Linked DNA regions of Mus musculus. The protein of the gene in region 3 binds, or shares a complex with, the protein of the main gene of each other region. Links are inferred from orthologs where the notes say so. Each region holds a gene or a part of one and is shown on either strand. Other genes may lie near its edges.

Region 1 (3,764 bases), on a different chromosome or scaffold from region 3:
GCCTCCTGCCCACTTAAAAGCCTTACATGGTCTAGTTGGTCTTTATACCAAGAGTGAAATTACAGCTGTTTCACTTTAATACTTTGTGCATTTGGTTTACATTTAGCCATTTCTCCATCTCTGATTTGTTCTCTGCTTGCCAGTATGGAGTCTATTTTCTGATTGTTACATTCAGGAAAACAGCTCATATTCTCTGAGAGACGGGTGGGCTTCTGTAGCAGAAGCAAGTCTCTAGGAGAGGAGGCTGAGTCCATTGCTCAGGGGTGGTTAGAACTCCTTAGTGCTTTTTGAAACAGGTCTAAAATTTATAGAATGGAAAGCTATGACTGTCTGGCGCACAATCTGCTAGAGCCTCTTCCTTGGGAGTCACACAGAGGCTGCAGACTGTAGGGTCAGCAGCTTGGATGCTGCTGGAATGAAAAGCGCTCCCCTTGGTTTACTGTCCCTCACTGTGGCATTCAGAAGACTCTGCACTTGATGGCGGCTAGTAATCGAGATGACTGAGCATTATCACGCTGGCCTTAAATTTACGTTAGCCGACTTTGCTGGGTGGGTATCTTGGTTCCAAGGTTCAGAAATGTATTTATAACAGTTTTTGTGTATGTGCAGGTGTTTGGGAGATGGACAGCTTAGATGATCCTATTTCCTGATAGTTTGAAATTAAATATGGTGTGTGTATGTATGCTCTTCTAAACTTGTGTTTAATGATCTGAACTGTTCTATTTTCTCAACTCAGGTGCTATCTCCTCTGAAGAAATCATTAAATATGCGCACAGGATTAGTGCAAGCAATGCTGTCTGTGCTCCACTGACTTGGGTTCCAGGTAACAGAGCTTCTTACATCAGATGAATGCAGGTTTGAAAGGACTGAGGTATCTAAATAAGATCATTTAACGTAGAATGTACTCATCTAGAGTAACATCTGCTAACAAAGGCATTTTCTTCAGTGTTGGAAGGAATGTCAGGTGTTACCCTCTTCTACCCTTCTACCCTTACTGTGTAGCCCTGGCTGTCCGGGGACTCATTTTGTAGACCAGGCTGGCCTGGGAAGAGAAGTCAGAGTTCTGCCTCACTCTGCCTTAAAGGTACGTGCCACCGTGCCCAGCTTAAGGATTTCCACTGTAGCTTCAGGCAGTGTGTGGCAGTATATACTGCAAAGGCAGGTACTGAAGAGGCCGAGGCAGGACTGCAGGCTTGAGGCTCACAAAGCACTTGCGTCTTTTAGTGTGAACTAAGGGCAGCTCATTCTTCAAGAACATATAAATGCTTTTTGAAAGCCTGAGTTAAAAGCTGTCTTTACTGTTTTAGGAGACCCTCGGAGGCCATACCCAACCGATTTAGAGATGAGAAGTGGATTGTTGGGTCAGATGAACAATCCTTCCACCAGTGGTGTGAATGGTCACCTCCCGGGAGATGCCCTTGCAGCAGGTAGACTGCCAGGTAATGCCAACTGGATGGGTGTTTTTAAGCAGACAGAGGTGCCCGTGAGGCACTGTCTGGTAGTGGACATCAAGATCTGTTACACAGGTTCCCTGCCAGTTTGTCATCCAAAGACCCTGCAGTGATGCACAGGACACTGACCTAAGCCCCTATGTCCCTCATGTGCATCTATTTCCTGGCACCCTCCCCAGGCCTGGCCTTCCCCTGTCGTGACCACTCTGAAGAGCATTTTTGCAGTTGAGAGGCATGCCCCCAAATAGAATAAGCACATTTTGTAGGTGCTGTGTTTTAATGTGGAAGAACCTTCCTAAGGAGAGGACATAGTGGGGACTGTGCTTTCTGAAGCCCATTGTAGCCATGGGCCACACTGTGTTAAAGTGTGGATTTGGGAATCTGCTTATTTGTGTTTAGCATTGCGAATCCCTAACCTTGTTAGATCCTTGGTACTACAAGGTAGGTGGGTGGGTAGATAGAATTAAGGTACTTGCATAGAGGGAGGGGATTTGAGTAGGCTGATCACAAGTAGGACTAATCCCATGTGCCTCTTTTCTCCAGATGTCCTTGCTCCGCAGTACCCATGGCAGTCAAATGACATGTCTGTGAACATGCTGCCACCAAATCACAGCAGTGACTTTCTGTTGGAGCCTCCTGGGCACAACAAAGAAAATGAAGATGATGTTGAGGTTATGTCAACAGACTCTTCGAGCAGCAGTAGCGACTCTGACTGAGAAAGGTGTGGCATGCACAGACTCCAGTGCGGCAGAGTTCTGTCAAGGGGGAAAGAAAAGCACAGACCTAAGGAGCCCATGAAAATCAGCGGGTTTTCTTCCTAGAGCCCGAGCCCCTGGTTTTCTATCTGTTACACAATGTTTGAGGATTAGTCAGAATTACTGTAGTGTTTGGTTGTACATAGCAGCCCTGGCATGAGACTGAAGAGGAACTCACACAACTCATGGAGCATACTTAGAAAGAGCACTGAGCCAGACGTGGTGGCTCACACCTATAGTCCCAGCACCTGGGAGGCTGAGGGATTGCTGTGAGTGTCGGGCCGCCTTGAGCTACAGAATGAGCTGAGCCACCAGGGTAACAGAGATAAGAACAGGCATCGGAGCGCTGTGTGATACTTCAGAAGTGCTCACTTGAACAACTCAATATATATATGTGGTAAATACTGTAATTTGTGTAAATAAACTTGGTTTTGTTTGTATTTAATTTTTTTCAATTTTTTAAAAAATATTTTTAAAATTTAGGTACACCTTCAGTGTAGGAAGGAAACATTTAAATCCAGTTGAATTTGAGCTGGGCAGTGGTGGCACATGCCTTTAATCCAGCACTCAGGAGGCAGAGGTAGGTAGGCAGATCTGAGTTTGGGGCCAACTTTGTCTACAAAGCAAGTTCTAGGAGTACAGAGAAACCCTGTCTGGGGAAAAAAAATCCAGATGTATTTTATAATAAAATAAGATTCTGGTATATATGATACAGTATATACAATAAAATGACTATCTTAACTCATAGTCACAATTAAGTCTCTGAGATCATTAAGTTGAAACTGAAAACATTTATTACAACCCCATACTACACAGACACATACACACAGGATAAGGAAAGTTAGAATAGATGGCCATCTCATGCCATCACCTTGTCTCCTTGTGACTTTTCTCATCTTTTACAGGACTGGGTCTCCCTGCTTGTATAAGGTACCTAGGTTAGTCTGGGACTTGCAGCCACCTGCCTTGGCCTCTTACTGTAGTTTCTCAAAAAACAGTCACTTTTAACTCTTTAGCTACCTCGTAGTTAACATCTGTGTCCACGATGTTTATATAAGTATCAGTTTTAGATAGTTATATAATAACTATCACAGAACATTTAAGAAACAGCATAAACCACAAAGTGAACCTGGCCATCTACTCTTGAGTACCCGTTAACATTCTGAAATAGATTCTTACTTAAATCCCACATGTTCCAGGCATGGTGGCACATGCCCGGTACCTGTGTGGCAGAGGCAGGTGATGTCTTAGGAGTACTAGGCCAGCTGGTGTTGATGCTGGGTTCTAAGGACAAGCAGCAAGCACTCTTAACAAATGAACCACCTCCCTAGACCCAGAAGCTTAAGGACCATACATTATCATTATCAGAATGCAAACATTTTGACAAATATGTAGGTATAAGAGATGAGACATAGATATACAGCACATTGTAATTTTGAAAAGTTGAAAACTAGCAAACATCACATTTATTCAGTGTTTTAAAAGAGAAAACTACAAATGTTCAGAGATGTCAGACAGTTCACAGAAACGAGCTTATGAAAGAGGAGATGTGGGCTAA
Region 2 (4,756 bases), on a different chromosome or scaffold from region 3:
ACTGTGTGCTAGAACATTTTAAGGCACTGGACAGCTATAGCAACAAAGGGTCAGTTCTCCTGATTCTCACTCTCAGAGTTCACGTGTTTCTCAAAGTAACCACAGAAAGGAAGGATGGAAGTATAGTAATGCATGCCTTACACTGCTTATCGGGCGCAGGCACGAGGCTAGTGCTCAGGTTGTATTCATGCATCATATAACAAACATAACATTTGTTTTCCTCATTTTACAGATGAGGAAACTGAGTCACAAAGAGGTAAAAGACTGGCTCCAGCTTCGAATCCTGAACAGCAGGACTTTATTTCTAGTTCATTAACCACAAGACCATATCGTTTCATTTTTTTTACCTCTTTATTATAACTTAAAAAGAGAGGGCGAGGCTGGTGTCTATCCAGCTCTCATTCTTTAGCCCTAGAGTTCTGCGATGTACCCCGGCGGCCTTATGGAGTGAATGAGAATGCATTGGAACGTCTTTCTTTTTCTTTTCTTTTTTCTTTTTCTCTCTCTCTCTCTCTTTTTTTTTTTTTTTTGCCAACTTTCTCTTCCAAAGAATTTGAACTGATTTCCAAGTAATTCTCGATTTTGAAGTGAACCTTCCTGCGCTGCTGCACTTTCCCCAGCCAGCAGAAAGCTAGGGCCAAGACTCGGGTCATCTTAACCGGGGCATCCAGCAGATGGCGCCATGTTAGTAGCCACCAGCTGGCCGCCCGGTCCCCGGGGCTCCGAAAGCTTCCCTGCCCTCCCTCACCGCCTTCTCTCTCCCCCCTCCCTACGGAGCCCGGCCCACGTGACCTCGCGGCGGCCAATGGGCGAGCAGAGAGGGCGAGCTGGTCCCTGTGGCCGCCATTAAAGCGAAGGGAAAACCCGTGAATTCGGATTAAAGGGGGAAAAACACCGCCCGCTGGGCCCACAAAATGGGGGAGACTACGGCGTCCAGGCGGTGAGGCGGCAGGAGAGCAGACGTTAGGCAGGCTTGGCCCAGGGACAACACGAGGACACAGCCGGAGAATGGACTGAGCCCACAGACGCCGCCACCACCTCCGCCGCTGAGGAGACTCTGGGCTTAAGGACATCGCCGCTGCCGGGCCGGGGGCCCGGGGTGCTCTGCCGGTCCTCGCCCTTCCCGCCCCTCCGCGGGCGTCCCCGGGCCGCGGAGAACCCTCCCGGGCTTCTGGGCTCGGCCCGCTCGGACTCGGGCTCTGACTATTTATCGTGTACCTGATTGTTATTATTATTTTTTTGTTTTTCGTTTTTTTTTCTCTTTTCTTCTTTTAAATCTTTTTTTATTTTTCTGGTGGAAGGGACAGACATCCCTTCCCCTCCTCTCCGGAGAGGGACGCGCGTCCGCGGGCTCCGCAGTCCCGGCGGCCGGCCGAGCGCGGCGCGGCCCTCCCGCCTGCGGCCTCGGCCCCGGGCGGCTGGGTGCCTCCGGGCGGCGGGGGCCGCGGCGGCGCCGGGGGGCGGCGGGGAGGGCGGGCGGCCCGGCGGCCTCCTCCCCACCGCCCCCCGCCCTCCCCGGTGTCTGTGTTTCTCTCTCTGGTCGGAGGCGGCGGTAATGGCGGATGGTGGGTTGTGGCGCCGGCGGCGGCTGCTGTGAGGGACGATGAGTTCCTCCTTCGTGTCGAACGGGGCCAGCCTGGAAGATTGTCACTGTAACCTCTTCTGCCTGGTGAGTGCGGGGGCCGCGGGCGGTGGGGGAGGGGGCCGCGCCGTGCGCCCTTGGGCCGTGGGGGAGGGGGTCTGGGTCGCATCCAGATGCCGGTGTCCCCCGGCTAGGCCCCGCCGGAGTCGGCCTCCTCCGAGGCTCTGCGGCCGCCCCGGGAGGCAGCGTCCGCTCACCTACCGACCGGGGCTCTGCTGGGAAGAGGCTTGTCTTTCCCCCCACCCCCTCGGTCTTTCTCCTCCTCCTGTCTTGTTTTGGACTCTTTTCCCCATCCTAGTCTTTTCCTTAACTTGGGCTGCTTATCTGCCCGGATAGTAATATTTTCTTGTGTGCTTCTTGCTTCCCCGCCTCCCCGCCCCCCGCCCCTTGTATCGAACAGTGTATCCCTTTTCCACACTTTCCACGATTGCCCCTGCTCGACTGCCTTTAAGCTCGCTTTTCCCTTGTAAGTGGGCTTCTCTTAAACAGGACCCCCCCAAAAACTTACGTATTAAAACCCTCTTCGTTTTGTAAGTTAAACTAATACAGGGGTAGTGTCCTTATGGGTGACTTCAGATCTTTGTGTAAAAACAGTGTGTGCCGGTTCATATGTTTTCTTTTTAAACTTTGAAAACATTTTGCCATTTTGACAATTTCTAGCCATCTTGCTTTTATTAGAACATTATGTTTTTGTGAGAGTGGAGGGGCAAGTGGAGGAGGTACTGTGGTTTCGCACTAAACGTTCTATATTTGTCTGTTTTGCTTACGTTTTAAGAATGTTTTGAGCTGGCTGTTCCTTTTATTGAACTGAAAAGTCTGGGGCAGCTGGAATTAGGGATGTTCTAGTACGTGTATGTAGGTCGGCCCAAATCGGATAACACTCAAGAGTTAAGACTTTTGTCAAAAGTACCAACTGTTGCAAATATCTAGTCCTGAATTAAACGATAGCCGAGCTTCCTGAATGACTAAGTTAGAGTGACTTTTTTCATTTTTCGTGTGCTCTGAGAAATATTAAGTCTATCATAGGTAAGTGAATTAAGTGGGTGGAGCATAACTAGTTGGCAAGCATAAACTGCCAGTCATGTATCAGCAGTTTCATTTTTGGCACCTTATGCTTTCTGTCACTAAGTTAGAATAAGGAATTACTGAATTTCCTTTGTTGAATCTCTTTCACGATGTGGTAAATGGGGATCTTCAGCACACTTACGTCTTACAGATTAGACTGGTTTTCTTGACATGTCCATTAATCAGCATCTCGTCACATGTAGTAAGATGTACAGCAGGTTTAACGTTTCTGTCTTCCCCAACTGGATCTATTTTTGGCACTTTGGGTTTTTTTTTTTTTTTTTTTTTTTGAAGCTAGATTAGCACAAATCTGACAGCTCTTTGGAAGTGGTTCTTTCCTTGGAGCTGTGTGCTTGTGGAGAATTAACAGGCTTTTTTTTTTTTTCCTTAAGAAAAAAAAAATTCAGATGGTTTTCGTATTAGAGCCATGACTTCTTACAAACCTGGAATGAGAGTCTTTACTTTCCAGTTCACCAAGGATCAAATGTGACTGACAGAGAGGACTGTAGGACAGAGGAGGAGGCTAGACTTACTGTGCAGGCTTAGCATCATTGTCTCATTGGTCAGCTCTGGATATGTTGCATTTATTGTAGACTTGCTACTCAGTGACATCTTTGATAATTTATGTAACAGTTTTGTGTTCTTTTCCTTAAGCTCTTGTTGGTTGAAACATTAGAATTCTTTGCTGTGGTGTTTTTGGTTTGTTTGGTTGTTTATTTTGGTCATATCTTTAGGTACTTAAGCATGCATTAAAAATAGTGATGTTTTAATGAAATCAAGGACTTTATAGTGAATATATATTTTATATATAAATATATAAATAGTATACTTATATTATTATACTTAATAACAAATATTTATTACTTAGAGTGAATGAACAATAATATAGATATTTTGCTTTCTTTTCCTTCAGGCCGACTTGACAGGAATTAAGTGGAAAAGATATGTATGGCAAGGCCCAACTTCCGCCCCTATTCTGTTTCCGGTGACAGAAGAAGACCCCATTTTGAGCAGTTTTAGTCGATGCCTTAAGGCAGATGTACTTGGTGTTTGGCGGCGAGATCAAAGACCTGGAAGAAGAGAATTGTGGATATTTTGGTGGGGTAAAGATCCCAATTTTGCTGACCTTATTCACCATGACTTATCAGGTGAAAGCACTTTATCCTTTTTAACTGTGCCTTAGCAATGTTGTACACTTTCCCAATGTGCTTCTGCTGTGGTGGACGGCCTTGTCAGCCTGGATCTGTAAGAGGGTTGCCATGCTCTGTTTCACCATCTTTGTTTTGGTTTCCTTAAGTTACCTGTGTAGATTCCAGGAGACTTGAACTCTGACTGAGTTTCTTCCTCTACCTCCCGGCTTCTTTCTGTAATTTCTCACAGGCAGTTTGTATCTAGGGAAAGCATTTTCATTAACCTGAGAAAAATGGAATCTGGAAGCATGTTATTTTTACAGTTATATAATAGTCTTGAAGCCAAGTGTAACTCACCTTTGAGTCTAGTTTGCTGTGTTCTTTTTTGTCTGACCCCGTGGGCAGGCCTAGAAATGTAACTTTGTTTGGCATAGATTTTCAAAAGTATAGTTGTATTTTAATATTATTTATGATTATGTATTAACTCGGGGAGGCATATGCTGTTTTTGGGGGGTGGGGGGTGGGAGGGTCTTTAGACCCTGCTTCGTCAAAGGGTATATTAGTAAGGACAAGGGCCATCTCATTAACTTTTAAAGGACAAAGGTCATTATCTGAAAGGTTGTACAGAAACGGTTTATTATGAGCACATCAATATTTCTTTTTTTTTTATTTTCTTGACTTTTAGGGCCAAATATACTTTAGAAAGAAACTATAGCCCTTTATGAAAATTACTGGTTATGTTTATTTTAAACTCAGTGTAAGTGTATCTTTGACTAGATACTCTCGGAGGGAACCAAGTTCTAGTTTGATAAGAGTTTTGACAGCTAAATTGAAAATTTTTAAGGTCTTTAAAATTTTCTGTGTGAGCAGGGAGTGTAGGTGTGGGTGTAGATATGTGTGCCACCATGTTGTGTAGAGG
Region 3 (3,845 bases):
TTGCTTGCCCTGCTCCTACAATCCATCACACCTTCCTGACACCCGCCCCGTTAGCAGTCTATGCAGTCCTGCATGCCCAGGACAAATGTCCAGCTCCCCAGTCTGGACTCTCCGGCTCTGGCTCCTTCCTGAACGCTCACGCTCCAGGAGTGTCCACCTGCTGGCCCTGCTGGCCCTGCGCTGTGGCTTTGGCTATCTACACCTAGGTCCTTCTGGCTCCCAATTTCTGCTTCTCCTTCCAGGCTCCTCGGAACCCTGGCTGGGTCAGAGGCATTCTGGGCTCTAACCCCTTGAGTGCACATGAGCTGTACACTTCCTGCCCACCTGCTCCAAGTCTCCCAGAACCAGGCCCACCATGCTGCCTCCAACTCATCCCAGGGCCCAGCATCACCCAGCCGGGGCCTTGGGGAGTCTGCAAGGCGAGAGCAAAGACAGCCCTCGGGGCGTCAGTCACGGGAGCCGGGCATTGTTAAAAGGAACTTTATTGGGTGTTGGGTTCAGATGAGGTCCATGAGGATGTCGTCCTCCATGACGCTGGGCTGCAGGCCCGGCTGGGGGACCGGGCCCCTGGGACCCCCGCTCAGCAGCATCTGACCTGGGGGGCAGCGGGAAGGGACTGCATCTCCCAGTGGTCCCTGGGGCCACTGAGGACCCTGGGCCTCTCATCCCACTTCCTCTGGGAACCCAAGGCAGTAAGGTTTCTAGGAAGCTCCATGGAACGCCAGAAGTCCTTCTAAGCCCCGCTGAATGCAGACACTTTCCTTTGACCCTTCGGGAGCCCTTCCCCCACACGTGTAGCTTCACTGACCCTAAGATATCTTCCAGCACCCCAGGATCAGAAGGTAAGGATTGTGGGAATTTTTCACCCACCACAAGAGGTCTTGCTCTTATAGCTGAACTTCCCAATGTCCCCTTGAGCTACGGGAGGCCCTTTGGTAATAGGGTCCTTACCAGTGGCTTCAGGGACTCCCACTCTAGACCCCTATCCTCCCCTGGAGCACCCTTACCTGGCAGTGGCGCCCGCTGGGGAAGCTGTGTGGGCCATGACTGGGCAGGTGGAGGATGCAGGAGCTGCGGCCCCAGCTGGGGCTGCCCCATGCTCTGATGTGGTGGCAGCAATGTAGGGGCCCCTGGAGGCTGTAGGTGGTGTAGGGAGGCCTGGGGCGGGGGCACCCCAGTCTGGGGCTAAGGAAGACAAAGAATGACTCAGAGGGCCTAGTGTAAAATCCGGGAAGGTCCACCGCCCTGGGAGCCTTGTCCAGCCCACTACTTCCTCCCAGAGATACTGGGTCAGAACCTGCAATTCCCTGCTTCTTTAATCCCAAGTCTCACCGGTGCTGGGTTAAGGAGAAGGCTCCGCAGCTGGGGGTTGGCCCCAGGGTTCTGGGGCCGCAGGATGGGTCCAGAAGGAGGTGGGCCAGGGGCTGCTCCAGGAGGACCTTGAGGTGCGCCTGTGGGGGCCTGGGTAGCACCTTGGGGCTGGGGCTGCCCTGTAGCCGCAGAAGCTCCCACGGCACCCTGAGGCTGAGGCTGTGGTGCACGGAGCTGTAGCTGGGGAACAGAGGCATGAAGAAGGACAGTAGGGTGGCCGCCCCAAGTCCACCCACCTCCATCCCCAACCCCACCAGTCCCCACCCGAGTCCTCACTAGATTCTGCGGGGGCCTCGCTTGCTCCTCCAGAATGGGGCCCAGGACTGGAGGTGCCTGCTGTGCCCCCATCTGCACGGGGACAGAGAGGACAAGTCAGATGAGGGACGGTGACTGACCCTGTCCTGTCGGGGAGACCCGGTGTGTAGAAGCAGGCTGCCGTTTTCTGGGGGCAAACCATCAAGGAGGTGTGCCACACCCTGCCTGGCTGTAAGGTGGGTCCTGCATCAGGAATCTGAAGTGGATACTGAAAAGGGACTAAGACTGCTCTGCTAGGACACAGGGGACATGGGACTCAGGCAAGATCTCTGGAGACAGGAGGCCATGGTGACCAGCTGGCCTGGCTCCACACTCACCCCGCGCTGTTGCTCCAGCTTCTGCTGCTGGACCTGCTTGTGGTTGGTGATGACCTGGCGGATGCCATTGACGAAGCCGCTCTGGTCGTAGGGGATGAGGCCCATGAAGATCTTCTTCTTAGACGAGTACAGGAGCATAAGCACGCGCACCTCGCATGGGGCCGTGTGCGGGAAATGCACGCAGCCCGCCTGTGGACAGAGACTCTCAGGACCTGCCCACCAGGGGGCTCCCAGATATCCCTCCTCACATAACACTCTACAAGCCCTGTGGGCAAGAGGTAAGGAGATCTCTCTGCATAATGCCAAGGTGGGCAGGTCTGCTTGGCATCTGCCCCAGAAGACAGAAACTGAGTGTAAGCAGTGAACCCGGTAGTCAAAGGGCACAGCAAGATCGAAGCACCCGCTGGCCACTAAGAAGGAAAGACAGCAGGTCACATCAGAAACCCACGGTGACCCTGACTGAGCGCCTCCACCTCCTTGTCTCACTTCAGCACAGCGCTGGACGGCCTCCCCCAATCACACTGGAAAGGGGTCTGCTGGGGAGGATGCCAGAAAAGATGGAGTAAGACCTTTAAGGGTGGCTCTATCTCTCTGCCAATGTCCACGAGCATGGACCAGGGACAGCAACATCACAAGGCAGCCATTTCGGGAGTCAAGGTGCCCCCTCAGACTCTCAGGGGACTGGCTTTGGCTACCATGGTTTCCTTCTCAGGACCTGGGTTTGCTCGGCCTGCAGCTGCTGCTCACACTGTCCAGTACAGAACAGGGTGGTGCCAGTGGAGCCGGTGAGCTGGTGAATGCCCTCCCCTACAGGGGGTGCAGCCTAGCAACCCAACTCTGGCCCAGATTAAAGGAGGCCTGGCCAGAAGTTGTGGACATTTCTCATTTTCTGAAGAAGGAGATTCAGCCATTGCCTCTTCCACATGCTTCAAGGTTGCCCAGAAGCTCAGGTTCTGTTCTGTACCTACAGTCTAGGCATGGCATCACTGGGCTCCCTGCTGGGTCCTGTTCTACAACAAGAACACCAGTTCCTGTTACCCTCTGGAAACATTAACTCAGAATCCATCATCTGCACCGATGAGCCCACCACCAAGGACCTGGGACCTGCTGAGCAGCCAGATGACAGCCCCAGCAGGATCCCCAAGTGCTTGACCCCCACCCACAAAAGAGAGTACAGGTGAGAAGGGCTGTGAGGCTGATGACCAACAGTACTCTGCCTGGGAAAAAGCAGGCACAGAAGTCACTGTGCCGGGGCCGGGCGTGGTGGCGCATGCCTTTAATCCCAGCACTCGGGAGGCAGAGGCAGGCGAATTTCTGAGTTCAAGGCCAGCCTGGTCTACAAAGTGAGTTCCAGGACAGCCAGGGCTACACAGAGAAACCCTGTCTCAAAAACCAAACAAACAAACAAGAAGTCACCGTGCCTCAACCACGTACACGGGCGCTGTGTCTCCCCAGACACTAATTTCAACCCACTGGCACCCAGGAAGCTGAGACGATTCGGGAGATGCCCCTACAACAGGTCAGATGAGTTGCAAGGGCAGGCCCTATCCAACAGAAAACAAGAGGGGCAGAGAAGTCAGGCTCCACTGCACAAGCCTACAAAGGCAACCCAAGGGAGCCTGGGGCAGCAGGACGTCCACGTGGAGGTGTTGCTACACAGTATGTCTTATCTCAGGGACTCAGTGGGCCCTAGGACACATGTACTTAAGCAAGGACGAGGTTCTATCTGCAGTGCCACAATAAGGCACAGGGTGCGAGGATCAGCAGCTCCTGGGGCTGGGTCCCCGGGGCCCTCACCAAGTTGGCAGAGAAGGGGACAGGAGTTAGTGCACTCACAAAGCC
Region 4 (3,932 bases), on a different chromosome or scaffold from region 3:
GCAGATTTCTGAGTTCAAGGCCAGCCTGATCTACAAAGTGAGTTCCAGGACAGCCAGGGCTATACAGAGAAACCCTGTCTCGAAAAGAAAAAAGAAAAAAAAAAAATGCTTGCTGCTCTTTCAGAGGACCTGACTCCATTCCCAGCACCCAAATATACCTATGACACAATATCCAGAGGAGCTGATGCCCTCTTCTGGCCTCTATGGGTACCGCACACTCAAGCACACACCCCTGCCCTACCCCCAACACACACACACACACACACACACACACACACACACACACACACACACACACACACACGCTTAAAACAAAATCTTTTTTTTTTTTTTTTAAATCAAGATTGCTGCCGGGTGTGGTGGTGCACGCCTTTAATCCCAGCACTTGGGAGGCAGAGGCAGGCGGATTTCTGAGCTCGAGGCCAGCCTGGTCTACAAAGTGAGTTCCAGGACAGCCATACAGAGAAACCCTGTTTCGAAAACCCAACCCTCCCTTCCCAAAAAAATCAATTGCTGGGAATGCAAAGAAGGCAACTACAGCTAACAGGATGCTAGATTGTTTATGCTTCTCTTCATCTTTAGAAGCTGAGAGGAGCTGAGAGTCCACATTTACCACTTAATTAAATTAACGTCTGCGTTTTCAGGCAGCCAGTACAAAGCAGAGTAGACAGACTGCAACAAGACCAAATACAGACCAGAAGGCCAAAACGCTAATGCTGGTAAAACTTTATTACGATATGTAAAACACCTCAGGTTTACGGAACAACAGTAAATGACTAACAACCAAAGCAAGAGGAAGCAACAGGAGCAACCGGATAACTGAGCCACAGCAGGAAGGCGTGATGAGCTGTCCTGCCAGCTAAAGCTAGGAGACAAGAATGACCAGTACCTCAGAGCCACTACCCAGATGCGCTGGCAAGTCTGCCTAGCTGTGCTCTGAGGACAGGATCCTAACTGACAGCCTACACTTTGTAGATTAACAGCTTTCCCGAGCCTGTCTTTGTGTTAAATGTCTCTGTAGTAGGTGAGGCAGGTAAGTAATAGTGTCAGTGAATTCAAGGCTCAAGCAAGATAAGACAACCTAGGAGGCACCCTGAAAAACCTGAGTGTTGAGTGTCAGGAACATGTGTCCACAGTGCTTTGAGCAACTCTGAAAACCATCCCTCTCAATCTCGCTCTCCTCAGTGGACTGTGGGTGCAGAGCTACTGAGCATCCTGTAGGAAGGAAAGCATTTTGGGACAGTATGATATAAGGAACAGTAAGACATAGGAAGCCAAGTTCCTGGTAACGCTGTGGAGTTCATGTTGCCCTGGGAACTGAATGCCTGTGAACTATTAATGAAAAATAAACTGTGCAGTAAGAGTCCTCTGCTTTTGGTTCTGCTACAGCGGCCTGGCCTACAGGGTCACAGAATTTAAAACAGTATGAGAAGACATCAGTGTCCAAAGAATGAAAGCGACACTCTAGCAGCCAACAATCCAGTCCTGCCACCTAACCATCTCCAGGAGAGGCCAGCCGCATCCTCAAGCGAAGGGGAGCCCCATACAGCACAGGCGTCCAGCCGATAACAAACCCTCAGCACCTGGGACACACACAGCTCCAGTGCCAACAGCGACAACCCTGTCCTACCTTTTGCCCTACAGCTTTTCCATTCTCCACAGTTACCATTCTTGAGGACCAGCCAAATCCAGTTAAAGCATGAAGTAAAAACCAGCTGTGATGGGCTCAGGAGGGAAGTCCAAAGCCCCGGAACACAAGCTACAGCTGGGAACCAGCTGGGCCAGGGGCCCAGGACCGAGTCCAGCACGTGGGCCTGGGCATTACCCTGGTGACAACTCAGCAGGTGGGCAGCTGCCAGTCACTAACGGATCCCAGCCACTGGCACTTGCTGCTGTTTTCGGATCTTGTTGAAGAGTTCCATGTACTGTATCATGGTATCTGCTGGCCCATAGACCGCATCGTGTCTGTTCCCAAATACTGTGGGTGCCCCTGGTGCGTGGCTCCCTAGAAAACTCTGTAGGAACTCAAGCAGGAGGCTCCAGCAGTCACTAGCCACCACACAAGGGCCATACTCCACCTGGGACAAGAGAACAGATAGCCAGGGTAAGGACAAGGACAAGCTTGCTTTCCTCCCTCCTGCTGCTGCTGCGATCCTTCAGTCACAAGGTGAAACCATTACAGTGTTGGCTTGGGAGCCTCCAAGCAGAAAAGAAACTGGCACTAGGGTCCTTTTCCCTACCTGCGATGCTTCCCAGGCTCCTTCCTATGGCTTTTACTTTGTGACAGGATCTAACAGTGCAGCTCAAGCCAGCCTAAACCTCACAATCCTCTGGCCTCCATCTCTGAGGTGCTGAGACAGTAAGCATGCACCAGCACTTCCCGCCTTGGACTCCTTATTGCTCTACAGGTTCCCATTACAGTCAGCAAGACTCTCAACAGCCTGATTTCCTAAGCCTAATGCCTTTCTAAACTCACTTCAAAAGTTTGTGTTTCAGCACAAAGTCTGAGGGCTGAAGGGTAGCAGACATTGCCACAGCCGCCAACACGCAGCTTGAGTGCCCCGCACCGCCTTTCGTGGAAGTCTGAGCCATCTGTAGAGCTTTCCTCCTTGTTCCTGCAGTCATGTCCAGGAACAAGAATGCTAACTTACCAGCTGCCCGACTTAACAGATTCAAGAACAGGGGAAGGACAGTACAGAAATGCGTCGCCGCCGAGTAGAAGTTAATGTGGAACTCAGGAAAGCTAAAAACGATGAGCAGATGCTGAAAAGGAGAAACATCAGCTCCTTTCCTTCTCTGCACCAGGAAAACCCGAACAACCAGGGGACTGTAAATTGGTCTGTGAGGACACTGTTAAAGGCATAAACAGTAACAATTTGGAAAGCCAGCTCTAAGCTACTCAAGCTGCCTGGAAATTGCTTTCTAGAGAGAAACAGCCTCCTATAGACAACATCATCCGGGCTGGTTTGATCCCAAAACTTGTGTCCTTCTTGGGCAAAACTGATTGTAGTCCCATTCAGTTTGAGTCTGCTTGGACACTCACCAACATTGCTTCTGGAACATCTGAACAGACCAAAGCTGTGGTGGATGGAGGTGCTATCCCAGCGTTTCTTTCTCTCTTGGCATCTCCCCATGCTCACATCAGCGAGCAGCTGTATGGGCTCTTGGAAACATTGCAGGTGATGGGTCAGCTTTCTGAGACTTAGTTATCAAACACGGTGCGATTGACCCACTGTTGGCACTTCTTGCAGTTCCCGATCTGTCATCCTTGGCATGTGGTCACTTAATCTTACCTGGAGGCTTTCAAACCTCTATCGAAACAAGAACCCTGCGCCTCCCTTAGACGCCATTGAGCAGATTCTTCCTACTTTAGTTCAACTCCTGCACCACCATGACCCAGAAGTACTAGCAGATTCCTGCTGGGCCATTTCCTCCCTGACTGATGGTCCAAAGCAGCGCATTGAGATGGTTGTGAAGAAAGGAGTTGTTCCCCAACTTGTGAAGCTTCTAGGAGCCACTGAACTGCCCACTGTGACTCCCGCTCTAAGACCCAAAGGGAATACTGTCACTGGAACAGATGAGCAGACTCAGAAAGTGATAGATGCAGGAGCACTTGCAGTCTTTCCCAGCCTGCTAACAAACCCCAAAACTAATATTCAGAAGGAGGCCACATGGACCATTACATTACATTACAGCTGGACACCAGGAACCAGATACAGCAAGTAGTGAATCACGGCCTAGTCCCCTTTCTTGTTGGTGTCCTCTCTAAGGCAGACTTTAAGACACAGAAGGAGGCCATGGGCTATAACCAACTCTACCAGCGGTGGGACTGTTGAGCAGATTGTGTATCTCGTTCATTGTGGGATAACAGAACCTTTGATGAACCTCTTAAGTGCAAAAGATACCAAGATTATTCAGGTTATTCTTGATGC
Region 5 (4,978 bases), on a different chromosome or scaffold from region 3:
CATCAGCACCAATTCTGGCAGCATCTGTTGTCAGCTGCTTCTCCTGCTCTTCAACTTCAGGGTCAGGCTTGGTTCTCAAGTGGTCAGGAACGACCTCATGGCTGAAAACAGGCACTCGTCCTTCAGTTTGACGCTGTAATATAGATTGGATTCATCCTATTGTGCTATCCAAGTAGGCCAGTTCTAACCCCACTTCCCTTCCATCAGAAAACGCATTTCCAGAGACAACACAACCGGAGGTAGGGATAGCTTTCTGTGACACTCTCTTTTCACTCACTCACTCCATCAGAACTAGGGTGAGCTAAATCCCACCCTCCACTACCACACTGAAATTGTCTTTTTTTGCTGTTTTGTTTTGGTCTTTTGTGAATCTCTACCTCCACCCCTATTCTGGGGACCCAGGACTTTGTGTCTGTTCTACCACTGAGCTAAATTCTCAACCCCACATTTTAAAGACTGCAGCAAAGTCACAGGCAAGCAGGACAGACTTTTTTCTTTTTGCCTGACATAGATGTTGGAAAAGGAAGGTCGTGGACTTGGTGAGATAGGCCCTGATTTTCACTTCATTCTTTAAGGGGGACTCTCCTGACCCCAGAAGGATAAAAACAAGTCTTCCAGACGGCAGCCCTCACCTTTCATGGCCACACAGAGGATCCAGTCAACAAGATACTGTGTGTCTTACCATGAGGTCTTCGTCTCGGTCTGGGGACAGCACCAGAGGGATGATGACCTGGTTTCGGAACAGTGGCGTCTTCTCATGCTTTAAGACCTTGTTCAGAGTGTTCAACTGTCCAGAAAGCAATGCAAAGCTGTCCAGGACAGAGGGCCTGGAGGTGGCGAGAAGTCACCAGAGTTACTTCTCCCTACAAAGTAACCTCTAAAAGTCCTAATGCTGCAACACTCAGACTCACCCCGAAGACTCGCAGCCCTGTGTCTGGCATAGGCAAGAACCAGATTTGCTAGTAGAGATGGAATTGGGAAAGAGGAACACACTTTCAATTTTTGACATAGATACAGAAAAAAGGCAACCCACTGTTTGACTGGGTTTGGGAGCAGTGGAAACAGGGGCTGTGGTTACACTGTAGTAAGTCTGTAAAGCCTCCTCCCTAATGTAGTAACAGACTCTATCATTCCAGAAGGCTGGATCTCAGATCCAGCCTCATGTGTGGAAGGAGAGCCACCATAAATGGAGCTATAATGGTCTTCCACTGAGGAAATGCCTCCTCACTAAGGAAGCCAAAGCGTAAGAATTAAAACCTAGAAACAGCCTAGGTTGGGAAACTGGACATTTTTCTACTTCCTTGCCATGGAGGCTTTAAGCCAAACTAAACTTGTCAATGTTGGGCAACCTAGTTCTTTCCAAATCAAAAAGGATATTTGCAAGTTGATAAATGGGTACATCGCTGGAGATGTCCTGTCAGCCAGGGGGCTTGGCCCCACCACCCATGGATCCCTCCCCAGCTTGTCCTGGCAATCCTTACCAGGTCAGCCGGTCATACTCGTTTTCCAACTTGTAAATGAAACTCCCCAGTGAATTCTTCAGATCGGCCACTTGATTCAGCAGGGCATCTAATGATGCCTCAAGCTGCTTCTCCTCCCTCTGCATCAACAGTGTGTTTGGTTACTCAGATACAAGTGAGCGTGACACATTCAGAAAAGCTAAATTGTTTTCTATCTTGGTATTTGGGTTACAGATAGCATCAACCCTTAGACCTTTCAACCTGTTCACCTGGCCTGAAGTCCTCCTACTAACTGATTCCTCTATAACCCTCCTACACTGTGGTCCTTCAAGAAGGTCATTGCACCAGACCTAATTCTCTTTGGCTTGAAACCTCATGATTTGTCTTTGTAACAAAACTGGCTTCGAACTCACTTAGCCTTGCACCTTTTTAATTCCATGCTCTCCTCCTCCCAGCTCTCAAACACTGCCTCTCCCAGTAGACAACATTCTCTTAGATTTGCAGTAGGGTTAATAGGAACGTGCTCAGGTTTCTGCACACTCTTCTTTGTCAGTTCCTCTTCTGGAAAATAGATGTGGCCTGCCTACCTCACGACTGCTTATTGTCACTGCGCTGCTTTCCTTGGGTGGATGAGAATCCCTCGTGTCACTCTGTGGTGTTGGCATTGACACAGTTTTGTTTTGTTTTTTTCAGGAAGTTCAGTTCACCTCAGAAAGGTTTGCCATGATAACAGGGGTGCTATCTGCACACACAGCCTAAATAATTCCCGAAGTTCATTATATCATGGGTGCCTCTGGTCATCCTCTTGTGAGTGTAGCTACTGTCAACCACACAATCTGGACAATCTCACACGTTGCCTCTCTGTAAGGTTTTCTCTGAATACCAGCTCTGCAATCCCCTTCCCGGTCCCCCAACTGGCCGTTTATCCATAGCATTTGGTGCTTTGGAAAGTCAACGTGCATCTTTGTGCCAATATTCCCGTGTCTCTTTCATAATTCGGGTGACCCATAAACAGTGTAGGTTTATCAGATGCAACAAGCCAAGTGAGTAATGAAAGAGTAATGAAAGACAAAGGCGAGGAAACCTGCACATTGTTTCTGAGTGTTAGACAATTTTAAACGCTGAGGCGGCAGAGGGTTTCCGTTTGACTATCTGAGGACTATTTACCCCACTTCTCCGCCCTTAGCAACGAGGTACAAGCCGGGAAGAATGATGCAAAGCTGATTTGCAAACCTGACTATGTGACTGAGGGGGTTGGACACCGGGTTCCACCCACAGCCTCGAATTACAAACAGCTTAGTTTTCATCCTTGGAGGCCCACGATCCCTTTAGCCTTCTGAAGCCTTATGACGCCTGTGTCCAACAGCCTAGATCGAGGCGTGCGGCAGCCCACTACTTTCCCGAGCCTTCCCAAATGCCACCACGATCCTTTTCCACGCTCAATCAAGTCCGCCTTTCCTCCCCGGGCCTCCGACCTTCTCACATCAGCGGGCTCGATGCCCGCGCCTCCCGCAGCTGGCCTCGCTCTCTCTGGCTCCGCTGCCTTTCCTCTGCCCTCCGCTCACAGCCCCAACTCCCCGGTGTCCTCAGCCCAATCACCCTCCCGCCAGCGGCTATAAGGCCCAACCCGCTTCTCACCTGCATTGCCGCGGCCCGGCGGGCGCAACCACTTCCCTTTCCGGTTTCTCGCACGGCTTGCTGCGCTCACCAATCAGAAAACTCAAAACGGGACCATCCCAACAACTTCCGGTTCCTGCCCGGTACAGAACTAGCCGGGTCAGAGGTCAGGAGTGGAGCAACCTCCCTGGCCCGGGCCGGCGCGGGAGGGCTGTGTGATGGCCTCGGAGCGCCCCGAGCCAGAGGTGAGGGATGGGCGGGCGCGGGGCCGAGGCCCGAGGGCGGGCGTGTGGCAGCCTTCACCCTCCGGAGCCTCAAGGAGGCCGTTGCTGTTTTGTTTACTCAGATGCCATCCTGATCTTCGTCGCCCATCCACAGACTTGTTAGCGATAGTGATGCTGATAAAAACTCGTGTTTTGGTTATTAGTTGGGATTTTCATTGTGCCACGCCGAAGCTGACCGACTTTGCGGGGTTTTTTGTATCTCATCTATTGGAATGCAATCAATAGCATGAGTTGATTTCGCTCTAGCGTTCGTGCTCTTGGCAAAGCCCTACAACCCTCTGGCCAGTCTTAACTTAGGACAGACCCTGCTTCCTTCTTTATAAAAGTATTTGTTCTGTGATGTGGCTTGGGGATCACAAGTTAAGGCAGAAAAGGCAGACGAGGCACCCGCCCCCCCACCCCACCCCCCACCCCCTAGATGCAAAGAACCCTATATGTATGTTTTGACATTCAGACTCCAGCAGGGAATCTGGCAGTATTTATTGTCATGTACAGAGCAGACAACTGAAGTCAGAGCAGGTGAGGTGTCATGCCATGCAAAGATACCTTAGGACTACTCCTTCCAACTGAACGAGCGGATCCGAGGAGGTACCAAATTTGGCTAGCGTGTCCAGGACCCCAGAGGGATAGCCTTGTAGGAGGGAAGGTTGATGCATGTGCGTAACGATACAAATAGCAATGGCTACTTGTCGAATTCTTACTGTATGCCAGCCACAATTCTGAGCTCTTTACTGTTACCAGTTCTTTCAACCCTATAAGGCAAACACCATTATCATCCCTCTTTTCAGGAAACTGAGGTGCCACTATTAAAAGAAGCATAGTTGTGCAGCTAGTATTGGGGCTAGAACTCCCAGGTAGGTGAGCTCGCTCTACAGCTACAAGTTGTCCTCTGACCTGCACACGTGCACTCTGACACGGGTGTGATCTTATATATGTATAATGTATGAGTACACACACCCGTGTATGGGGAGGATGTGATAAACTACACACATGAAAACCCTATGAGTGAATAGGGTAGAAACAGAATACCAAGAAGAAAGGGTGATGTTTAGAGAGGCTAGGCTCCCAAAAGAGAGGAAGAAGCAAGTGCTGTTCTGCAACCAGAATTGTGCTGAGGGTTAGGGTGGATGCAGAGGGTAAAACAGAGACTCCTTAGCTGTGGGGACTAAATGAACATTGGATTATAATAGGTGTTGCAGAGGCGTAAGTGAAGTGTCACATTTAGTGGGGCATTTAACCTCCTTCCACAAATGGGTGGGATCCAGGAAGTTTAAGTTCTCTAAGTATCTAACACAGGTAGAATCCTCAGGAAATTGTCATTCTTGCTTTCCCTGTTCAGGAATGGAGAAACATGCAGAGCCAGTATTTGCCCCAAGGTGCCTTTAACACTGAAGGGCCTGCTTTTACCATAGTGGTGGGTGATGGGGCTGAGACTGGGAAAGAGAAGGCTCAGCTCGCAGTTATGCCAGAGGTTAAGGTTTATCATGCTGGCAGGCTTCGGATAGTTAGGAGGCAGAGGTATCGACGTTATTTTGTGGGAAGAAAGCACATGGTTTAGAAAAAGCTCAAGAGAATAATTTGGTCTTTAGTCTTAAAGAAGCAGGAAGAAACTCTGGT
Region 6 (3,458 bases), on a different chromosome or scaffold from region 3:
TGTGCACAGAAGCACATGCACACGTGAGACCTAAAGAAATAACTGTAATCTAAAACAGAAGGTAGATGAGCCAACAGTAAATTTCACTAAGGCTGTTGGTAGGATCCTGGGTAAGACTCCTATAAAAAAGAAAGTGGACTGAAAGTTTTCCTGGCAGAAAAAGAAAAAAAAAGAAAAAGAAAAAGAGAAGGAGAAGGAGAAAAAGTATCTGACTTTTCAAATCTAAGACTATGAGCCTTTTGTCTTTCTTCTCTGTGTAGCCTTGGCTGTCTTGGAACTTGCACTGTAGACCACAGGTCTGCCTGCCTCTGCCTCCTGAGTGCCAGGACTAATGTTAATGGCATGCACCACCAGCACATGGCCCTTTTCTTGCCTGAACATGTCTGTGTACTGAGTGTGTGCCTGGTGCCTGTGTACTTCAAAAGAGAGCATCCAATCACCTAGAACTGGACTCCTACGGAAGGTTGTCAGCACTCAAGGATGTGTTGGAATTAAGCCTGGTCCTCTCTGCAGGAGCAGCCAGTGCTCTTTAGCAGCTAAGCCACCTCTCCATCACCAGCTACTTGAATGTTTTTGATTACATTTGTGTGTGGGTGTGCACACATGTGGGTGCAGGACTCAACCAATCCTGTGGAGAAACAGGACGGCAACAGGCAGGAGTCGGTTCTTTCTTTCTCCCATGTGGGTCCTGGAGAGGCCCCCACAGCATACACAATAACAACAATAGTAAGACAGAACTATAGCAATATAGAAGTAGACTAGGAAGGAGTTAAGACGAGTAAGAATCAGAATCACAACTGAGTCTTTTCAGTCTTTATTACCACACAATGCTGGCTCACACCACCATTGTAAACCTTGTATATCAATGGCAAAACAACACAATTTAAAACATATGAAGAAAACAACAAATAAATAAAGGAATAAAAAATGTTTCTCTAAAAAAAACAAAAAAAAAACAAAAAAAAAAAAACAAACAGCCGGGCTTGCGTGTTATCGCACGCCTTTAATTCCAGTACTCGGGAGGCAGAGGCAGGTGGATTTCTGAGTTTGAGGCCAGCCTGGTCTACAAAGTGAGTTCCAGGGCAGCCAAAGCAACACAGAGAAACCCTGTCTTGTATTGAAAAACAAAACAAACAAACAAACAAACAAACAAACAAAAAACAAAAAAAAAAAACAAAAAAGAAAAGAAAAGAAGAGAAAAAAGAAAAAAAAAGCAAAATATTATGAGTTGTTTTTTGACCTTTCCTCTGAAAAGCTAATTTATTCCAGTTCCCTCTTTTTGAGTGGAGGGAGGACTTGAACAAATCTCCATATTATCCTGGGTCTTTCATTGGAAAAGCCTATCAAGAAGATGAACAGTCAGGTTTAATAAGGACCTTGCAGGCACTTAGGCGGGAAGTACAGGGTCCTGAGTTCCAGGGTAGCTAGTTTATGTAGTGAATTCCATGGTAAAACCCTGTTGCAAGAAAAAAGAGACATTACCAAGTGAAGGAAACAGTTGAAAGGAACCAGGTCTCGCCATCATCTTCTGGAAGGAAGTGGGCCCGGCTGGCAGCAGTACCTGGGCTACTTTCGAAGTCTCTCACCTCCCAGGTGGGGACAGGCCTAAAAGGCCGACAAACTTTCTTCATCACATCAGCCTTTTGGGGTCTATTTTTTCCAGGTGAACCAGAGGTTTGAGCTGCTCTGCAAAGTTCCTCATGTCATCAGAGACCATGTCCTGCCCAGCCGGGGCGACAACACTTAATTCCACAAGATAGGAGAGGGACAGGGCCTCGGTGCTGTCCGTGTTCCCTGGGACCAGGATTCGGAAAATCTTGTACACCACAACCTTCATGATGCCCTTCCGAAACAGGTGTCCTTTGGCGACAAACTCATGGTCCATGCGGAAGCCCATCTCCATCAGGAAGTCCGTGAGGTTCTCAGACGTGGCGATGTCCACACAGTTGCGCACCAGGGCGTGGCGGTTCTTGTCTCCCATTTCGGGCTGTCCCAGGTATCGCAGATGCCAGGGTGCCCCTGCCCTGTCCATGGAGCGCCGGGCCCTTAGGACGAACGGGCTGGCCTGCTGGCCCTTAAGCAGGAAGACCATCTCGTGATCAAGGAAGGTCTCAGGCTCCATGTTGTCACACAAACCTCGGAGGCGATGGATGAGGCTTTCCAAACTGTGGTCCAAAACACTTCCTGAAGAGGCACAAGCACAGTGAGTCCCGGCTTTCATTTCATTTAGGGTCATGAAACCAGCGAAAGATACACACACCAAATAAATAGTTCTATGCAACGTTTTCTAAGAACAATCCATGGGATTCTATTTATTTGTCTATTCAAAACGTTTTATATTTAGTCATTCTTGTCTCGGCAAACTCGAGAATACAATGGCACATAAATGTTGGTTGGAGGATAACCCGCTAGAACGGATTCCCTGTGGGTCCCAGATTGAACCCAGGTTGTCTGACTTAGCAGCAAATGCCGGGTAGTGGTTTGCATGACAGTAGCCCCCACAGCTCCTGGATTTGAATGTCTAGTCTCTACTTCCTATTGTTTAGGGAAGGACTAGGAGGAACGTCCTTGTTGGAGGAGGTGTGTCAGTGGGAGTTTTCAAAAGCGGGCCCCCATCTTTCTGTCAGTGGCTCAGGCTGTAGCTCTCAGCTACTGCTCCAGCACCTGCCTGCCTTAATGGGATGAAAGGGGTGTTATCACCATGCCCGGCTTCTTGTTCTGAAGTATAATTATATGAAAAAGAAAATCTGAATTTGTTCTACAAATGGAAAAATTGCATTGGCTATAAATAAATCATTGTGGCTGGGTGTAGATCTGTGAGAGACCATGTGCTCCAGATGCAAGGCCTTGCTGGGGTTTGATCAAGGCACCAAGAGGACCAAGGCTGAGGGATGGAGCTTAACGGCTGAGGACTGACACAGAAGGCTCGGGGTTCAATTCCTAGCACTATAAAATAATAAAATTAAACAACAACAAAGATTAAATAAGATTAAACAGTTATTTAACTGAGCCAGGCATGCAGGCACTCAGGAGTCTGAGGCAATAGAGTCGCTGCAAGACTGGGGCTGGGAAAACCACTCAGAGGTAAAGAGTTTGTACTGCTCTTGCAGAGGCCAGAGTTCAATCCCATCCACATCAAGTGGCTCACAACCTGTAACTCCAACTCCAAGGATCCCAGCACCTCCTGCCTCGCATGCATGTACCATCCCCTGAAACACATGCACAGAGAACTAAAAATGGTATTTTAAAATCTTAAAAAAAGCTGGGCAGGGGTGGTGCATGCCTTTAATCCCAGCACTTGGGAGACAGAGGCAGGTGGATTTCCGAGTTGGAGTTAGAGGCCAGCCTGGTTTACAGAGTGAGTTTCAGGACAGCCAGGACTGCACAGAGAAACCCTGTCTCGAAAAACCGAAAAACAAAAACAAAAACAAAACAAAAAAATCTTAAAAAAAAAAAAA
Region 7 (5,026 bases), on a different chromosome or scaffold from region 3:
CCTTCTGTTTTTACCCTCCATGCACTGAGGTTACATTTGGGTCTTTAACATTCAGATCTTGCAAGTACAGTCAATAATAGACAAAACAAAGTATTCATTAAACTGTATTTTTAACCAGTCCCTAACATGACATGGCTATCCCTTATGTAGTACTGGGGTTGTCTTATATGTATTATTCTAGGCAAGCTCTCCACCCATGAACTTATCTTTGGGTGATGGCTAATCTTTAGAAGCAGAAAGACTGAGTGGCATTTTCTTGTGGCTGCCCAGATAAAAGGACATGAAGAAAGGAAACTGCTCTTTGGTTGCTTGCTCTAACACTCACTGGCAACTTCATCTGTACCACTGCTGTGCCATTCCTTTGCCAGTATTAGAACCAAACTTCTTTGGGATTCCAACATGGACTGAAGACCTGTGGCTCTCCAGGAATCTTCCAGGTCTCCAATGCCAGGTGGGGGTCTGTTGAGACATCCAGCCTCTTAGACTGAGCAACTACAGGATTCTCAGCCTTTCAGGGCTGAGACAGCCATTGCTGGACTACTTGAACTGCATCTTGTAAGTCACTCGGATAAGTCATATATACATATATATCCATGTGCATACACACATTCATTCTATCAGTGTAATAACCCCTAGTACACTTTCAGTAAGATAATAAATCTGTGGGTATAGGAAAAAACGAAGAGCCCTTACCTTTTAGAGGTTCATACCAGACTAGAGACAAAATGATGGGGCTCATATAACTATGGAAGTTGGTAGTGAGTAGACTCTTCTTTTGTTTTTATGCCTGCAATGCTCCACATATTTAAAGGAAGAAACTGAGACATTCTTGTTTGTGAAGCAGAGCTGTTTATCTTACTTTTAGTTTGCAACACTGCATCTTACGACTCCCATATCATCTGTTAACAACTCTTCTCTCTCTCCTCCCTCCCCCTCCTCCTCTCCCTCAGGGAAAGGCCAAAATGGAAATATTTCTTGCTAGTCCTGATGGCTCATTTCTATACCTCTGGCTTTCCAGAGGCTGGGAAGAGACATCTGAAGCCAGCCTGGGCTACACAGTGAAATTACCCACTCCCTCCATTTTAAAAAATTATATTAAGTTTTTTTCACTTGTCAATTTGTGGAAGGATTGTTATAGACATCTTTGAATTCCTAAATGAAAATAAAAGTGAATGGAAGGGGGAAAATGAAGGTTTAGGATGTTATTCTTAATCATGTTCACAAATATCTCCATATATATGAATATATCATAGAGTACAATCTTGCTTTTAAAAAACATTTTTGATGATTACATTAGTATAATTTTTAAATATATTGCTTATCTGTATTTTCTGACTTTTACATAAGGCAAGTATTTAATTTTAAAAGTCTCGTATAAAAGTGGGGGCTGCAAGGAATGGAATTACTAGAGAGTACTTTCTTCTACTAACAAAAAGTACGAAGAAGTATTCTCCTGACCTGACCAAGAAACCAGACAGCGGATCTTTCCCGAGAGAAGCAGGAGATGCGAAAGTGCGCATGTGCAACATCTTTAGGGCGGGAGTAGGACCTGCTATAGGACAGCCTTGGTAGCCAATGAGAGGCCCGCGTCAGAGGCTTCTTCCTGAGAAGGCAACCGGAACTTGTGCTTCCGCTGCGCTGAGGAAAAGTCACTACCGGAAAAGCAAGAAAGAGCTGAGGTGAGCGGGCGGCGGCGGTTGGCGACCGCAGCCTAAGTCTGTCTCTCCGCCCCCGCGGTTGCGTCTCTCCCGGCGTGGAGCGCCGAAGTCCGGCGCGGGACAGCCTGGGACGCCCGGGCTAGCCTTCCTCCCGGTTCCTCCGCGAAGCCTCCCCGGGGCCTGAGGCAGGCGGCCGGCCGAAGGTACACCGAGTACCGCTCTCTCCGGACGACAAGCCAGACGGGAGGTTGGGAGGTCCGAGTTCTCGTCCCCACGCCACGGGCTTTTATAATGTCGTGGTCTTAGCCTGCCCTGTCGCCATTGGTAAAGTGACAGTAGCCGCCTGGGAGCGCGGGGGCTGGGGGAGGGGAGCGAGAGCCTGGGTCGGAGCCGGATTCATCCTGTACCAGACTTTCCGCGGGGACCCAGTCACGGGGACAAAGTGAGCCAAGTGTCTGAGCTTGCGGACCCCCCCCCTCCCAAAAAAAAAAGCACCCACGAGACACTGGATCTTGTTAGTGTTAGCGAGTCACGACCTCCAGCGGCTTTGAAAAGTTCAGTTTGAACCGGTAATGGGCGGTTTCTGTAAGGTGGCCCGCTCTAACGCGGGATGCCCAAGTTACGGGGGTTTGCACTTGCGCCCGAAAAAACTAATGCGGATTCCCGTTGTACAATTCACCCCCTTCTGCACGTTGGGAATTGGCTTCTTGTCTCTATAGTCAAATTGGGAGTAGTCGTACCGTCCTGATGATTGGAGTGAGGATGCGGATCTGTCACTTACTAAAAACCTTCGGGAAACTGCGGGTTTAGTGTGGGTGTGGCTAAGGGAAGCGCAGATCCCCAACTTCAAAAGCCTTCGGGGGATGAAATTTAGGCCAGGTGTTGACTTGAAGTGGCTACAAGTAGACTTTCGTGTTCTAGGTATATACACCCTGAATTAGCTCTAACAGTTAGACAATCTGAAGAATTTGGAGTTGCTTCCCTCAGATTTAAGGTATTGGCAGTGTACATCAGTGTGAGAAAGCACTCAAGAATCTTCTCATTGTATAATGTACTTAAATTGGAAAAAGCAAAGGTTATTTTGACCATATATGTTGGGATTTAGGTTTTAAATTTATGTAGAAAAGATGTAAAAATTGCTAATGTGTTAAGAAAACTGTACTATACTAACTCTACTATACTGTAAGATGTGGCTTCCTTCAGAAACCTTGGAAAATATTTGAAATATGAAATTTAACAACGGTGTTTTGTTATAGTTGTTTGTTTGTTTGTTTTTTTGAGACAGAATTTCTCTGCGTAGCCTTGGCTGTCCTGGAACTCACTCTGTAGACCAGGCTGGCCTCGAACTCAGAAATTCACCTGCCTCTGCCTCCCAAGTGCTGGGATTAAAGGCGTGCGCCACCACTGCCCAGCAACAATGGTGATTTTTGTCAAGATGTAAAGAGAGTTTTAAGTGTTTGGGTTTGGAGACCACTGTACAGTAAAAAGGAAAGTGAACGACATGAGATTAATAGATACCATATGTAGTTTGATTATGGGAAAGAATAATAAATAAGGCATATGACATTTGCATATAAATGTTCTTTTCCAGAGTAGGTTCCAACATATGCCTACCAAAAGGAGTCAGACATGAAAAAATAGTATATCATGTACCATATAAAAGCACCCTAAATACAGACCCTTTTTCCTTAGTTCTCAGAATATGTTTGTTCTTTGAGAATTTTATACACACACACACAAACACACATGTGTTTTGATCATACCCGCTTCCACACTCCTCTAATACCTCACAGACCACTACCATATCTTACTCCCACTTTTATATATTTTAAAAATATTTACTTAGTTTTTAAAGATGGATCTTTAGCACCGGCTGGCCCAGCCTCACTGTGTAGTCCAAACTGGCCTTGAACTTAGAGCTATCGAGCTTCTCAGTCACAGGGACTACAGCATGACCCATCATGACTACAGCGGGAACCATCATGCCCAGTTTAGGTCTTTTTAAAAAAATGTTTAAAAATAACAGTAAATAAAGTCCTCTGCCAAACCTGTGGTGGACTCTGCTGCTTGTTTTTCCACTTTGTATGCTTTACATTTGTCAGATTACCTAGAATATGTGAGTCCTTAGTGCTAGCATCCTTTTCTAAACAAGCAGAGCAGATCTTACTTCACCATCACGTGAAGTCTGGCAGGCAGCAAGAGTGCTCTTTAACAGGTGAGAAAGACTTGAAGAGATCAAAAAAATAGTAGGGTTTCTAAGTGATACTGTTTTGTGTTCTCAGAATTTCCTTCATAGACAAAGTTTGCATATCTCGACTTGGGTGTATAGTTAGAGATATTAGGGCAACAAGGCTCTCACTTCTGTTATCTTCACTGCAATAAACATAACAATTCAGCATTTTTAAGTCTGATTCAGTTAAACAAACTATCTGATAAAAACCTGCAGTCGTGGGTGAATACAGTTAAGAGTCAGGACACAGCAGGCCGTAGGACCAGAGCAGTATTGTGAAGAAGTCATGGTACCTGGGAGTCAGTGACTAAGTAGTTTAAACGGTGATTCTGCAGTAAAAATGACCTTGCCATTGTCCACTGTGAGTTACAGAACCTGTCTTTACACTTGAATGTTAGAATCATAATTGTGGTGCTATCACAAAGTAGACAAAGGGCAAACCTTTTGGAAGGCAGAGTCTTTGGTGTGCAACTTTCTGTACCTTCCTTGCTCTATCCCATTAGCCTAACAAGGAAGTTTTTTTGTTTTTTGTTCTCCCCCCCACCGTCAGATCTTCATAAAGCTTTGCTTTATTTTCTCTTTGCCAGGATCATCTGTCCCTATCGGGTGAGTTAGCACACCTGTTGTCTTGGGTGGTCAACACGTTCTCAATTTTCAAGGTGTATTTCCTATCAGGAAACTTGAAGATAATATGGTCTGAACCCACAGTGAACTTCTGAACATCGTAGTTGTGTTGATCAGGCTGCTCTGGTCTTAGGTTGGTACTTTTTTCTCTCATCAGTGAAGTTTCATGACACAGTAACAAATGTCACAAGACCCTCTCCCTCCCTCACACCCTGCCCTGCTCTTCTCCCCCCCCCCCCCCCAGTATACTTTGCCCGGTCTGTTTTTGAGAAATTGACAAGTCTTCCGTGCTCTGGAAGGATTGTTTTGTTTTTGTCATTACTGGTATTGTGGGTGCCTGTCTTCCACTGAAATGTGGCCTATATCTGAAGATTTTTCCCGCAAGCCCCAGTAGATAGAGAGCTAATGTGGGCTGTCCCAGCTTCCATTTCCCTCAGACATTCTCTATAGAGGAAAAAGATGTAGCTTTTGTTTTATTAACTACTGTTGAAAACCCTGAGGAAATAAAGGAAAA

The links.
Region 1: Med25 (region 3) and Med4 share a complex: the UniProt entries of both Homo sapiens proteins name them as parts of the mediator complex. The link is inferred for Mus musculus from reciprocal best matches to the Homo sapiens genes MED25 and MED4.
Region 2: Med25 (region 3) and Med13 share a complex: the UniProt entries of both Homo sapiens proteins name them as parts of the mediator complex. The link is inferred for Mus musculus from reciprocal best matches to the Homo sapiens genes MED25 and MED13.
Region 4: Med25 (region 3) and Med20 share a complex: the UniProt entries of both Homo sapiens proteins name them as parts of the mediator complex. The link is inferred for Mus musculus from reciprocal best matches to the Homo sapiens genes MED25 and MED20.
Region 5: Med25 (region 3) and Med8 share a complex: the UniProt entries of both Homo sapiens proteins name them as parts of the mediator complex. The link is inferred for Mus musculus from reciprocal best matches to the Homo sapiens genes MED25 and MED8.
Region 6: Med25 (region 3) and Med18 share a complex: the UniProt entries of both Homo sapiens proteins name them as parts of the mediator complex. The link is inferred for Mus musculus from reciprocal best matches to the Homo sapiens genes MED25 and MED18.
Region 7: Med25 (region 3) and Med7 share a complex: the UniProt entries of both Homo sapiens proteins name them as parts of the mediator complex. The link is inferred for Mus musculus from reciprocal best matches to the Homo sapiens genes MED25 and MED7.

What each region holds. Positions count from the first base shown.
Region 1 is NC_000080.6:73,515,900-73,519,663, forward strand, and holds the end of Med4 (mediator of RNA polymerase II transcription subunit 4), read left to right. Parts: intron 1-736; coding exon 737-823; intron 824-1,307; coding exon 1,308-1,439; intron 1,440-1,994; coding exon 1,995-2,167; 3' UTR 2,168-2,646; downstream 2,647-3,764. UniProt on the Homo sapiens protein: Component of the Mediator complex, a coactivator involved in the regulated transcription of nearly all RNA polymerase II-dependent genes.
Region 2 is NC_000077.6:86,354,373-86,359,128, reverse strand, and holds the start of Med13 (mediator of RNA polymerase II transcription subunit 13), read left to right. Parts: upstream 1-1,532; 5' UTR 1,533-1,603; coding exon 1,604-1,669; intron 1,670-3,620; coding exon 3,621-3,855; intron 3,856-4,756. UniProt on the Homo sapiens protein: Component of the Mediator complex, a coactivator involved in the regulated transcription of nearly all RNA polymerase II-dependent genes.
Region 3 is NC_000073.6:44,878,920-44,882,764, forward strand, and holds part of Med25 (mediator of RNA polymerase II transcription subunit 25), read right to left. Parts: coding exon 3,840-3,845; intron 2,193-3,839; coding exon 2,004-2,192; intron 1,720-2,003; coding exon 1,648-1,719; intron 1,552-1,647; coding exon 1,333-1,551; intron 1,186-1,332; coding exon 1,008-1,185; intron 596-1,007; coding exon of another isoform or gene 498-595; exon of another isoform or gene 1-497. UniProt on the Homo sapiens protein: Component of the Mediator complex, a coactivator involved in the regulated transcription of nearly all RNA polymerase II-dependent genes.
Region 4 is NC_000083.6:47,621,031-47,624,962, reverse strand, and holds the end of Med20 (mediator of RNA polymerase II transcription subunit 20), read right to left. Parts: exon of another isoform or gene 2,079-3,932; coding exon 1,863-2,078; 3' UTR 712-1,862; downstream 1-711. UniProt on the Homo sapiens protein: Component of the Mediator complex, a coactivator involved in the regulated transcription of nearly all RNA polymerase II-dependent genes.
Region 5 is NC_000070.6:118,407,507-118,412,484, reverse strand, and holds the start of Med8 (mediator of RNA polymerase II transcription subunit 8), read right to left. Parts: upstream 3,149-4,978; 5' UTR 3,105-3,148; coding exon 3,099-3,104; exon of another isoform or gene 2,936-3,098; intron 1,601-2,935; coding exon 1,482-1,600; intron 960-1,481; coding exon of another isoform or gene 912-959; intron 828-911; coding exon 683-827; intron 134-682; coding exon 1-133. Other genes in the region: KICSTOR complex protein SZT2, read left to right, coding at 3,296-3,322. UniProt on the Homo sapiens protein: Component of the Mediator complex, a coactivator involved in the regulated transcription of nearly all RNA polymerase II-dependent genes.
Region 6 is NC_000070.6:132,457,930-132,461,387, forward strand, and holds the end of Med18 (mediator of RNA polymerase II transcription subunit 18), read right to left. Parts: intron 2,185-3,458; coding exon 1,631-2,184; 3' UTR 800-1,630; downstream 1-799. UniProt on the Homo sapiens protein: Component of the Mediator complex, a coactivator involved in the regulated transcription of nearly all RNA polymerase II-dependent genes.
Region 7 is NC_000077.6:46,435,331-46,440,356, forward strand, and holds the start of Med7 (mediator of RNA polymerase II transcription subunit 7), read left to right. Parts: upstream 1-1,630; 5' UTR 1,631-1,861; exon of another isoform or gene 1,862-1,982; intron 1,983-4,475; 5' UTR 4,476-4,645; intron 4,646-5,026. UniProt on the Homo sapiens protein: Component of the Mediator complex, a coactivator involved in the regulated transcription of nearly all RNA polymerase II-dependent genes.